Sus scrofa: one gene and its partners. The protein of the gene in region 2 binds, or shares a complex with, the protein of the main gene of each other region. Links are inferred from orthologs where the notes say so. Each region holds a gene or a part of one and is shown on either strand. Other genes may lie near its edges.

Region 1 (3,642 bases), on a different chromosome or scaffold from region 2:
TTCCTTTTGGACACTGAAGTCAGGATGGGGCTGCAGGCAGGGCTCTGCAGGTGGGAGAGCACGGCGACCAGCCGTATGAACCCGGGGCTGGCCTGGCACCTCCTTTCGGATGTCCAGACAGGTGGGCATGTGGCCGCGCTGGTTAGTGCTGGCTGAACTGCTTCCTTCAGGATAAACCCAGCGTGTGGAGCAAGGGAAGGAAGAACGGCCTCGATTCAGAGAGGTGTAGGTGCCAGGGTCCTGCCAAGCTCCCGCCCGCCTTTCCTGCTCAGAGGCCTGAGGATGGGGGAGGACCCACGAAATGGGGGTAGGGGTGGGGGGAGCACTGCCCGAGGGTGGTCTTGATCCCACCACGGCCCCGGTGCTGCACGCTGGCGCTGACGGTCTGTGCAGCCAGGTGGGTGCCAGGCCCTGGCCACGCCCAGTCCACAGATGCCAATCACACCCTGGTCATGAAAAGAGTGAGCCGAGGGCCTGGCGCTGTGCCCACTCACCAGAAAGGCACCTGTTACACCAGCAACAGGGCAGCCAGGCCCCTGGGGACACTGCTCAGTTGTGTGCAGGCCTGACAAGCTGCTAACGACTGGAGGGTGACTACAGTGGCCCTAACCCATCTTACCTGGGGACCAGCAGGCGCTGAGGCTGCTCCTCGGCTGCCCCTCCAGGCCGCCTCTCCTCCGTGGGCTGACTGGCGCCATCGCCCCCTCCGGGCAGCCCGTCTGCGGCATCCCCCGGGGGCCCTGAGGTGTGTGTCAGGCACTTGTTGGGAGTAGGGGCTTTGGGCTCCTGCAGGCCAGGGGCGTCTTCGGAGGGCAAGGCCTCCAGGGCGGGCCCCGCCTCTGGCAGTCCGGGAGCTGCGCCCTTGGCACTGGCCTTGGCCAAGCCAACGTGGGAGGAGCTGATGACGCTGCCAGAGCCACACTTGCCCCGCAGACTCTCCGCAGCGTCCTCCCTGCCGCCCCCGCAGCCCCCGCAGCACACGCAGGAGTTGAGGAGGCAGTCGGCAGCCGTGGCGCTCAGTTTGTGGGGGCCACCGTCCGTCCCCTCTGCCGCCGGCTCCGACGGGGAGAAGCCGTCCCCGGGGACCTCTGCGCTGGCGAGGGTGGAGTCCAAGGAGGCAGGCGACTTGGGATTGAAGATGACCGTGGCTGAGAGCTTCATGCCCCCGGTCCGGTGGGCGATCAGCTCAGCCGTCTCGGCAGCGTCCGAACTCACCTCCCAGCCGTCGAGGTGCGGCCGGGAGTCCAGGCAGCTGCAGGAGTTGGGGCCCCCTGCCCGCGCCCCGTCGCCCTCGACGTTGTTGTTGTCGTTCCCGCCCCCCTTGCCCGCGTCAGCAGGTGTGCTGGCGCCCCGCTCCCTGCTCTCCCCGCCTGGCCCTCTCTCCTGGGGGTCAGCGCTGGCACTGCCCGCCTGCCCAGACGGGCTGCCCCGGGCCTCGGCCGCCCCTCCCACGTCATCCATGAAAAACACCCTGCCCTCCTCGTCGTCACTGCCCTGCGGCAGCCGGGCGCTGCCTGGGGACGCCGGCCCTGGACTGCCCGTGGCGCCCAGCCTGTGCGCAGGGGACTGGGTGGCACTGGGTGGGGACAGGAGCGAGGACATCTCGTCGCCGGCTTTGTGCACCAGGCGGCTGAGCTGCTCCAGCTCCTGGTCGTCGTACTGCATGGAGCAGGCCAGCTCCGCCTCCGAGTTCTTGGGCTTGTCCGCCAGCAGCTCCTCTGGGGCCAGGGGTTCGGGAAAGGCGGGTGCCAGGGCAGGCGGCACCTGGGCGTCTGCCCGGATGGGGAACTCCACCTCCTGGGAAATACAGAGGTTCCGTTCCAGCGTGTGAAGCTCCTCTTCGGTCAGGGTCTGCAGCAAATCCCTATAAGGGTCAAGACAGAGAACAGGGGTGTGTGTGGACAAGGCCCCCAGAGCCCCCAGCAGAGAAGCCGCCGGGCGGCCGCCACCTGCAACTAACCTCAAGGCGCACGCCCCCTCCACTGCAAAAAGAGGTGGGGTCTCCGAGGCTCCATCGGGACAACAGCCACTTGGCATGGCTGACTGTGATTCTAGGGTGGGCTTGTCCGTAGAAATGAGATTCTGAAACCTCTTGCTCATAACAAGCCCTGGTTCTTTTTTTTTTTTTTTTTTGGTCTTTTTGCCTTTTTTTTTTAGGGCCACGCCTGTGGCATATGGAAGTTCCCAGGCCAGGGGTCGAACCAGAGCTGTAGCCACAGGCCTACGCCCCAGCCACAGCAACGCGGGATCCTTAACCCACTGAGCGAGGCCAGGGATTGAACCTGCATCCTCATGGATGCTAGTCCGGTTTGTTAACCACTGAGCCATGACAGGAGCTCCAAGCCCTGGTCCTCAGGGACATGATAGCTGCACTCATATAAAGTTTTAGGAGTGAAAAAAACATGCCTTTTACATATAGATTTTCATTCTTTGGTTCAACATGTATCACTGAGCACCATCTGTGTGCCAGGGATCGAACCCATGTCATGGCAGTGACTTGAGCCACAGCAGTGACAATGCCAAGTCCTTAGCCCAGTGAGTCACCAGGGAACTCTCATCTTAACCATTTTTAAGTGACAGCTCAGTGCTATCAAATGCATTCACATGGTTGTGCAGCCATCACTATCCCCACCCCACGACACCTTCATCCTATAAATCTAAAGTTCTGGGCCCATTAGGAGCTTCCACTGTGGCTCAGTGGTTAACAAACCCGACTAGGAACCACGAGGTTTTGGGTTCGATCCTTGGCCTTGCTTAGTGGGTTAAAGATCCGGCGTTGCCGTGAGCCATGGGGTAGGCTGACAGCTACAGCTCTGATTCCACCATTAGCCTGGGAACTTCCATATGCCACAGGTGCAGCCCTAAAAAGATAAAAGACAAAAAATAAATAAAATAAAATTCTATATCCATTAAACCCTAACTCTTCCCCTCCCTCCAGCCCCGACAACCACCACTACCCTTTCTGTCTCCACGCTTTTGACTATTCTAAGTGTAACTGGACTCACACATCGCATTTTCGTGACTGGCTTATTTCATTTAGTATGACCTCAAAGTGCGTCCGTGTCGCATCTGTCAAAATGTCCTTCCTTTTTAAGGCTGAATAATACCCATGGCTTGGCTGGACCACACTTTGCTTATCAATTCATCTATCAGCCGATGCTTCCACCTCTCAGCTCCTGTGAATGGTGCTGCTACGAACATAAGTGTGCAAGTATCTCTTCAGGAAGCTGCTTTCAATTCCTCGGGGTGTAAACCCAGAAAAGGAACTGCCAGATCATACGGTAGTTCTATTTTAATTTCTTCCTTTCTTTTTTTTTTTTGCTTTTCAGGGCCGCACCCGCACCCACAGCACATGGAGGTTCCCAGGCTAGGGGTCCAATCAGAGCTGTAGTCTCCAGCCTACGCCAGAGCCACAGCAATGTGGGATCCGAGCCGCGTCTGCGACCCACACCACAGCTCACGGCAACGCCGGATCCTCAACCCACTGAGCAAGGCCAGGGATCGACCCGCAACCTCATGGTTCCCAGTCGGGTTCGTTGACCACTGTGCCCCGACGGGAGCTCCCATCCCCTTTTTTCGAGGCAGCCGTCCTCGGGGTGTGCGGTGGCCTCAGGAGGCGGAACTGCCTTTCCCTGGCGCCGT
Region 2 (3,642 bases):
GACAGACGTGAGGACTCTCACGGAGGGAGACGAGCTTCCCTGAGGCCCAGAAGCAGCACCTCCGCCCTTCCGGGTTTCCAGGACTGGGATCTCGCAAGAGGGCGGAGAGGCAGGAGAAGCGTCAGGGGGCGGCCCTGCCCTTCTTCGGGGCGGGGAAGGCGGGACTCGCAGACACCTGAGCGGCCAGGACTCGCCTGTGGGCTTAGGGGCCTGTGGACAGTCCCGACGGGGCTCCAGTTCCACGAGCCTCGAGGGCTCTCCTGGCACCGCACCCGTGGCGCTGTAACTGTGGCGCCATGCCCGTGGCACCATACCTGTGGCGGCCGGAGAGGGCAGCGGGTAGTTCTTCTCCTCTTCCATGAACTGCAGGGCCACGGTGCAGAAGTTGCTTTCGTACTGAACCACAAGGTGACTCAGAGCCACCACCAGCTCCTGCCGGGAGAAGGCACAAGCACGCTGACGTGGGGCTGGGAGACGATGCGGGCGCTGCATGCTGGAGCCACCATGGAGAAGGATGGGGGACAGACCGTGCTGGGCACCGGGAAAGGGGCTCCCCGCTCAACACAGCACTGGAGCACCCAGCGTGGGCAGAGGCGTCTGAGCAAGCAGGGTGTCAGGATCACGGCCTCCAAAAACGCCTGGGACACCTGGCGGGGTGACTGCTGACCGCCAGGTGTGAGCGACAGGGCTGGAGGGCCTTGTAGAGACGTAGGGTGAGGGTGCCGTGGTGTGGGATGGGGAAGAGCCCGCAGGGCCTCCTCCCACGGGTGAGGCTGAGCCCCACTGCAGAGCAGCAGGCCGCCAAGGGGCACCTGCCGGCTCCTCCTGGTGAAGACGAAGCCTGCACCTCTTCAAAAAGCACCCATTTTCCCTCCACTGTGAGGGGCTGAAAGGGCTGGGCTGGACCCAGAGCAGATCGACCCGGCCCCAGGGAGGCCCATGGTCAGGTGCGGCTGGGCGCAGGCTGGCCTCACGCTATTCTCAGGCCTGGGAAGACCAGCGGGGGGCTGACACGTTCAGATGCGAGACCCTCTGGGCAGCCCTCCCCTTCCCGGCAGAGCTGGTCCGCCTTCGCCACAGTCTAGCGCTGTCACACTCAGAACCAGCAGGCCTTGCCCACACAGCTGCCCACGGGCGTCGGGTGGCTGGTCACGGGGTGGTGAGTGGACTCCAGCCCAGAAGGGCGCCCAGGGCACATGTGGACACAGGCTTGAGAGCGCGGAGGCTCTGGTGCTCCTGGCGGCCACTCCCTGGTCCCTCGGGTAGTCTATTCTCATCACCGCTCTTTTTTATCTCAAAGCTTGTTAGGGAAGAGCTAAAAGACAGCGTTCCTTCCTTTGGAAGCAGTCTCAACAGACAACTTGAGAGACTGCTGATCTGCTGCTTTGATGGGTGACACCCACCAGAGGCAATGCGACTCGGGAAAAAGCAGCCTTTGACTCAGGAAGCCCGCGTCGGGCAGAAGCTAAGACAGCCGAGCTCGGGCCGAGGCGCCTGCGGAGCGTCCTCAGCCAAGGCTTCTCTAGAAACCCTGGCGTCCTGGGAGCTGGCCTCACGTTCCCCGGGGGCACGAGGCGGGATGAGTGGTTCCCGGCTGATGGGAACTTGCTGAAAGTTCCTGCCACCAAGACAGCTCTCCAAGCAAACCCCCCCAGACCACAGCCCCTCCCCGCACAGCCATCTCCAGGCTGGGGACCGCGGCACCTCCGCTCACGGTCACAGGACCACGCTGCCCTGCGTCCACCCGAAATACGGCCCCTTCTGGCTGGGGGAGGGGCGGGCTGAGCTGTGCTGAGCCAACCCTGGAAGGGGAGTGAGACCTCGCACGGAAAGCATGGTATTTCTGCATCTAAACGGACAAGGCAAGGTTCCCACTGCAGAGACTGCTGGGCTCAGTCAAGACAAACGTGTGGGGTGGGGCGGGGAGAACGCGGCACACCCCGGGCCTGCCTGAGAGGCCACGGCTTTTGAACCTCCGTGGGGGGCACATGCTGCCTACTGTACAAGCTGCCCGGAGACGTGGCCTGTTAAACACCTTTCAATGAAGCAAACATGAGTATCTGGTGAAGAAACGCACTTTGGAGAGTGCGTTTGGCCAGGGTGCGTGCCAGGGGACTGAGAGCCCGCGGCTGCGGCCCAGGGTCGCGGGCTGCGGAGGGGGGGCACCCACCTTCCGCACCACAGGGCTGCCGTCGTTGATGAGCTGGGCCAGCATCATGGCCACGTTGTGGTCGATGGTGGTGGAGTGGTCCGTCCTCTCTGCTGAGTTGCCCACAAAGGTGCCAAGGGCGAAGACTGCTGCGCAGCGCACCTGCGGGCAGGGCGGCGGTCACCCTGAGCCGGCTGGCCCTCCTCTCAGCCCAGCCCCAAGCGCAGAGGAGCCCTAGCCAGGGAGGAACGAGGCACGAGCTTCCCCCCCACCCCCACCAGGGCCGAGAGCTGCTGGGACCAGAGGCCAGCCCGTGCTCCTGCCCCCAGCAGGTGGCCTCCAGCACCGAGCCGTCCTGCAGCCGCACCTCGGGGATGGGGTCGGAGAGGAGGCTGCAGAGCTTCTCGTGGGCGCTGTCCCTCACGCCGCACCAGCGGGCCGAGTCGAAGTTCTGCCAGATCCGCCCGAGGCAGATGGCCACCCACTGGCGCAGCAGGGGGTGGGGGTCGCTGAGCTGCTCCAGGCAGATGGCGATCAGGTTCCCCTGGAGGCAGGCCTCCTGCAAGCAGGCGGCAGTGCAGGGCGTCACCCCATCACGCCCCGACCACCAGCAGGGAGGAGGGTGGCGGGCCGGACCCCAGCACCTGGCTTTTCTTGGGGGGACTGTGCTGGGTCCCGTCGCAGGACGTGCTCAATTTCCCGCACTTCACTCCCACCAATTCCAGCTCCCCCAGCTGCAGCCAGAGGGGCCGGGCCGCTGCTCCTCCCATGGAGCCCCCGGCTGCTGGGACCCGGAACCCCCCTCCTGAGGTCACCGTTCCATCACTCGGAGCAGTTCCTCGGGCGGCGCCTCGGGACCCCGGGGCGCCCGGGGGGTGGGGACGCGGGGTGACACTCGCCTGCCCCGTGTTGTAGCTGTTGACGATCACGGCCAGGATGAAGGCCGTCATGGTCCTGTGCTCAGCCTGCAAAACACAAGTCCTGCTCGTTGGCGCCTCCTCCGCGGGAAACGTGACGCGGAGCTAGATGTGGAACTCAGGTGACGAGGGCCAGCTGCGGAGCTCCCGTCGTGGCACAAGCAAGCGAATGTGACGAGGCACCATGAGGTTGCGGGTTCCAGCCCGGCCCCGCTCAGTGGGTTAAGGATCTGGCGCTGCCAGGAGCTGTGGTGGAGGCCGGCAGCTATGGCTTCGATTAGACCCTTAGCCTGGGAACCTCCATATGTCGCGAGTGCGGCCCTAAAAGAAAACAAAGACAAAAATAAATAAATGACAAGGTCCAGCTTTATCGTCTCCCGCTGTGAGGCCACAGAAGGAACGCCCGTTGAAGAGGGCTCGGCAGCTTTGGGCTGGTCTCCCGGAGGCTGCGATGCTGCAGCGGGAGCAGGCTCTGGTTCTGCGCCATCGGAGGCCGCCCTGCTAACACGCAGCCCCCGATCACCCCGTCCTGCTCGGGCCTACGGGGCGGGTGGCCCTGGTCTAGCACGCCGGCCG
Region 3 (3,742 bases), on a different chromosome or scaffold from region 2:
GCTTGGCGCCAGGTTGATATTATGACCAGGGACCTGAATCCCGCCTAACATGCCCCCCTGTATCCCCATGGGTGTCCCTTAGTGAATGTGGATTCGGTTTTTCCAGCACTGTGGGCTGTGGCGCAGTGGTTAACAAATCCAACTAGGAACCATGAGGTTGTAGATTCGATCCCTGGCCTTGCTCAGTGGGTTAAGGATCTGGCGTTGCCATGAGCTATTGTGTGGGTCGAATACGCAGCTCGGATCCCATGTTGCTGTGACTCTGGCGTAGGCCGGTGGCTACAGCTCCGATTAGACCCCTAGCCTGGGAACCTCCGTATGCTGTGGGAGTGGCCCAATAAAATGGCAAAAAGACAAAAAACAAAACAAAACAACAACAGAAATGTGTGGTCTCAGTTCTGGAGGCTGGAAGTCCGAGATCAAGGGGTTGGCAGGGTGGTTCCTTCTGAGGCTGTGAGGAAGAATTTGATCCAGCCTACTCCTCTCCCAACCCCCTGAGCTTCTGATGGTTTGCTTGCAATCCTTGATGTTCCTTAACCCTTGGCTTTTGTAGGAAAACCTGCCACCTGTGCTGCAGCCATACCTCAAAGAAGTAGGAAAAAGAGCAGGTGGGGACTTCGAGATGCTTAACAGTATTCCCACCCCCTTCCAGGTACCAGGATCATCTATGACCGGAAGTTCCTAATGGAGTGTCGGAACTCACCTGTGACCAAAACGCCCCCGAGGGACCTGCCCACCATTCCCGGGGTCACCAGCCCTGTGGGTGATGAGCCCCCCACAGATGCCAGCCAGAACCACCTGCGCAGTAGCCCAGACGACAAGCCGGCGGGGGCGGGCGGTGAGTGCAGGACTTGGCCAGGCTCTCCCTTGGGAAGGAACATGTGTGGTCCCATCCGCTGGGGGGAGTTCAGGGAAAACACTGGCGATCACCCCACCCTCCATGGAGCAGCCCAGAGCCCAGAGGATGGAGGTAGGGATGGAGCATAGAGTTTTCATCCCAACCAGCTTTCCCCATGAAAATGGCCCAGGAACCCAGGAAAGGCCATCATCTGGCAACTCACTAGTGGGGAGCTTGTTTGAAACAAGAGGGGACCACACAGCCACTTTGCTAACCTTTATATAGTTGTCCCTGAAGCATTTCCAGGCGACTGCAACACTTGGAACATACCCACGATGTTCCTGTGCTGGAGGTGACCTATCAAAGGCCCAGTGTCCTCGCCCTCTAGGAAATTACATGTCTGTATCAGAAAGGCTTCTAGGATGCCTTCTGCTAGGGTGTTGTCTGTAGTAGATTCTTGATGAACAGAGGAGAAACAGTGCAACCGGTTTCTTTTGTTTTTTTGTTTTTCCTTTCCTTTTTAGGGCCACACCCACAGCATATGGAAGTTCCCAGGCTAGGGGTTGAATCGGAGCTGTGGCCACTGGCCTGCGCCACAGCCACAGCAACATGGGATCTGAGCCGCATCTGCGACCTATACCACAGCTCACAGCAACGCTGGATCCTTAACCCACTGAGCGAGGCCAGAGCTCAAACCCGAATCCTCCTGGATACTAGTCAATTCTTAACCTGAGCAGCCACAAGGGGAATTCCGCAACCAGTTGTTTCTGCAGGTTTGACACAGTAGCTGGGTCCTTCCTGGTGTTTGTTCTCTCCATCCCCCACCTCCATCCTCCCAAGTCATCAGAGCAGCCACCCTGGCAGAGGTGAACGCAGTCTGTGGCATTGGGACTGGCTGGCCCCGGGCATCTAAGTGCTCCTGCTGCAGGAGGATGCAGCATAAGCACTTGCAGACAACCTGAGTCAGCGGGCAGCCTGCTGACCCTTTATCTGGAAGGCAGTGCACCAAGCCCAGACAGGAAGCAGCTGGGACCTCAGGCTGGGCTGGCCCTGCTGAGAGCAGCAGAAGCCATCTCCCCAGGGCCTGCAGGACATGATTCATATTTACCTTGGGAACCCTACCACCCAAGACAGGCTGGTTGCCTCACCCTCAGACAAGGAGAGCAGGGGGTGGAAGGGCGTGGACTCAGACACACAGGGAGCATGAGGAGGGCAACTGAAGACTGGAAGTTGAGGATGGAGGTTGTCAACACCTGACATTGCTGCATCACTCTCACCTGGTCCGTTGCCCCCACTTGTACTCCCTCTTCCCTCCCAGTTTCTAGAGCTGTTCTGTCCCACAACAAATGGAGGGTGGCCCAGCAGTGCCCCCAGGTGGACCACTCTGACCCCACAATCATGGCCTAGTGTTCCCCACAGTTGCTGGGTTGGGGTTTAGTGGAGGGGGGTGCCAGCATGATTTTCTCTTTTGCTTAACTGGATATAAGAAGCCAAGGGACCAAGAATTCCTGTTGTGGCTCAGGTTAAGAACCCAGCATAGTGTCCGTGAACTGCCCTAAAATGTGATGTGGATACATCATTGCCATGACTGTGATATTGGCTGGCAGTTGCAGCTCAGATTGGACCCCTTGCCTAGGAACTTCCCTATGCCGCAGGTGCAGCCCTAAAAAAAAAGAAAAGAAAAGCAACCCCCTGCAGCATGAATTACTTGGAAATGGTAATGGTGAGAGTTGGGTGAGGGCAGTGAGTGGCTAAATTACCCAAATAACTGCCATACCACAGGGTCAGGCTGGGTCAGGCTGTTCCACACACAGTGGGATATATGCCTGGTAGGTTAGGGTACTGTTTTCTAAACAAGAAGTTGGGACATGTGCTCAAAAGGGTTTTATGTTTAAGGAATATTTGTCTGTGAAGTTGTATATATTTCAAATCACAAGGAACCATTCACACTTATTAAAAATGATACATTTAGAGTTCCCTGGTGGCTCAGTGGGTTAAGGATCTGGCATTGTCACTGCTGTGGCTTGGGTTACTACTGTGGCACAGGTTTGATCCCTGGCCCAGGAACTTCCGCATGCCATGGACACAGCCAATGATAATAATAGTAGTAGTAATAATAATAATGCCTATATGGAATTCAGGGCTGTCACCTCTCCTGCTGGGAGATGTGGTCTTTGCTCTGCCTTTAAGACTTGAGGAAGGGAGCACAGCTGGACATGTATTTCCAGGAATTCCTGGTCCCACCCTTCCTCTGTTCTTGGCAGCCCAAACCTGGCCCCTGCTCTGCTGGTAGGGACAGAAGAATGGGAAGTAGTGCCTTTTCCTGGCCTCTAGAATGTCAGCCCTGCCCAATTCCTTTTGCTCACCTGACCCTCTGTTCCTTCTCTCCCCAGGTGAAGAGTCACAGTTTGAGATGGACATTTAAAGGACCAGCCATGGGATCGAGCAATGCCTCTGGGCCCCAGTGGCCCCTTTTGGGAGAAGGATCCCACCAGCCAGGCCTTATGAAAGTTGCCATCCTGGGCAGGCGTTGGGCGTGGGGTCGGCTGCCCCAGCCCCCTGCTTCCTCACTCAGGGCACCTGCTCCCCCTTCTTCATGAACACCAGCAGATACCTCCATGTGCCTCCACTCCTGCAGGTGCTGTCACCCCAAGAGGAGTGACCTCAGGCACACCCTGCAGCCCAGGGCCAGCTCGTGGACTCGGAGGAGCCCTTCTGAATGGTCCTCTAGCTCTTCCAGCATCCTCCTGGGGGGGGGTGTGCCCACCCCTTCCTTAGGTTGGTGTATGGAAATGCTCCCATCCCTCTCTCTTCCCAAGAAAGGAAATAAAAGCCACCTTTGCCCTAGGGCCAAGAATTGGCCCCTGTCTGAGCTCTTTTCATTCCATATGGATGGCTAACGCC

The links.
Region 1: the proteins of RPTOR (region 2) and ZFYVE28 are in contact, whole or in part, in a cryo-EM structure (PDB 9F43), measured with the Homo sapiens proteins. The link is inferred for Sus scrofa from reciprocal best matches to the Homo sapiens genes RPTOR and ZFYVE28. Residues at the interface, in NP_065812.1 of Homo sapiens: Arg54, Arg305, Arg306, Thr317, Asp321, Phe337, Arg338, Leu341, Ala344, Arg348, Leu437, Gln438, Leu440, Leu441, Ser442, Gln443, Arg446, Pro474, Tyr475, Lys478, Leu479, Gln481, Ser482, Ser483, Ala484; in NP_066023.2 of Homo sapiens: Arg399, Val400, Phe401, Phe402, Met403, Asp404, Asp405, Val406, Glu407.
Region 3: the proteins of RPTOR (region 2) and EIF4EBP1 are in contact, whole or in part, in a cryo-EM structure (PDB 6BCX), measured with the Homo sapiens proteins. The link is inferred for Sus scrofa from reciprocal best matches to the Homo sapiens genes RPTOR and EIF4EBP1. Residues at the interface, in NP_065812.1 of Homo sapiens: Arg54, Arg305, Thr317, Asp321, Phe337, Arg338, Leu341, Ala344, Arg348, Leu437, Gln438, Leu440, Leu441, Ser442, Gln443, Arg446, Tyr475, Lys478, Leu479, Gln481; in NP_004086.1 of Homo sapiens: Glu111, Ser112, Gln113, Phe114, Glu115, Met116, Asp117, Ile118.

Annotation. Positions count from the first base shown.
Region 1 is NC_010450.4:1,243,433-1,247,074, forward strand, and holds part of ZFYVE28 (lateral signaling target protein 2 homolog), read right to left. Parts: intron 1,865-3,642; coding exon 620-1,864; intron 165-619; coding exon of another isoform or gene 143-164; exon of another isoform or gene 1-142. UniProt on the Homo sapiens protein: Negative regulator of epidermal growth factor receptor (EGFR) signaling. Acts by promoting EGFR degradation in endosomes when not monoubiquitinated.
Region 2 is NC_010454.4:1,747,331-1,750,972, forward strand, and holds part of RPTOR (regulatory-associated protein of mTOR), read right to left. Parts: intron 3,115-3,642; coding exon 3,049-3,114; intron 2,709-3,048; coding exon 2,517-2,708; intron 2,312-2,516; coding exon 2,171-2,311; intron 433-2,170; coding exon 315-432; intron 1-314. UniProt on the Homo sapiens protein: Component of the mechanistic target of rapamycin complex 1 (mTORC1), an evolutionarily conserved central nutrient sensor that stimulates anabolic reactions and macromolecule biosynthesis to promote cellular biomass generation and growth.
Region 3 is NC_010457.5:48,422,764-48,426,505, reverse strand, and holds the end of EIF4EBP1 (eukaryotic translation initiation factor 4E-binding protein 1), read left to right. Parts: intron 1-652; coding exon 653-838; intron 839-3,231; coding exon 3,232-3,263; 3' UTR 3,264-3,505; downstream 3,506-3,742. UniProt on the Homo sapiens protein: Repressor of translation initiation that regulates EIF4E activity by preventing its assembly into the eIF4F complex: hypophosphorylated form competes with EIF4G1/EIF4G3 and strongly binds to EIF4E, leading to repress translation.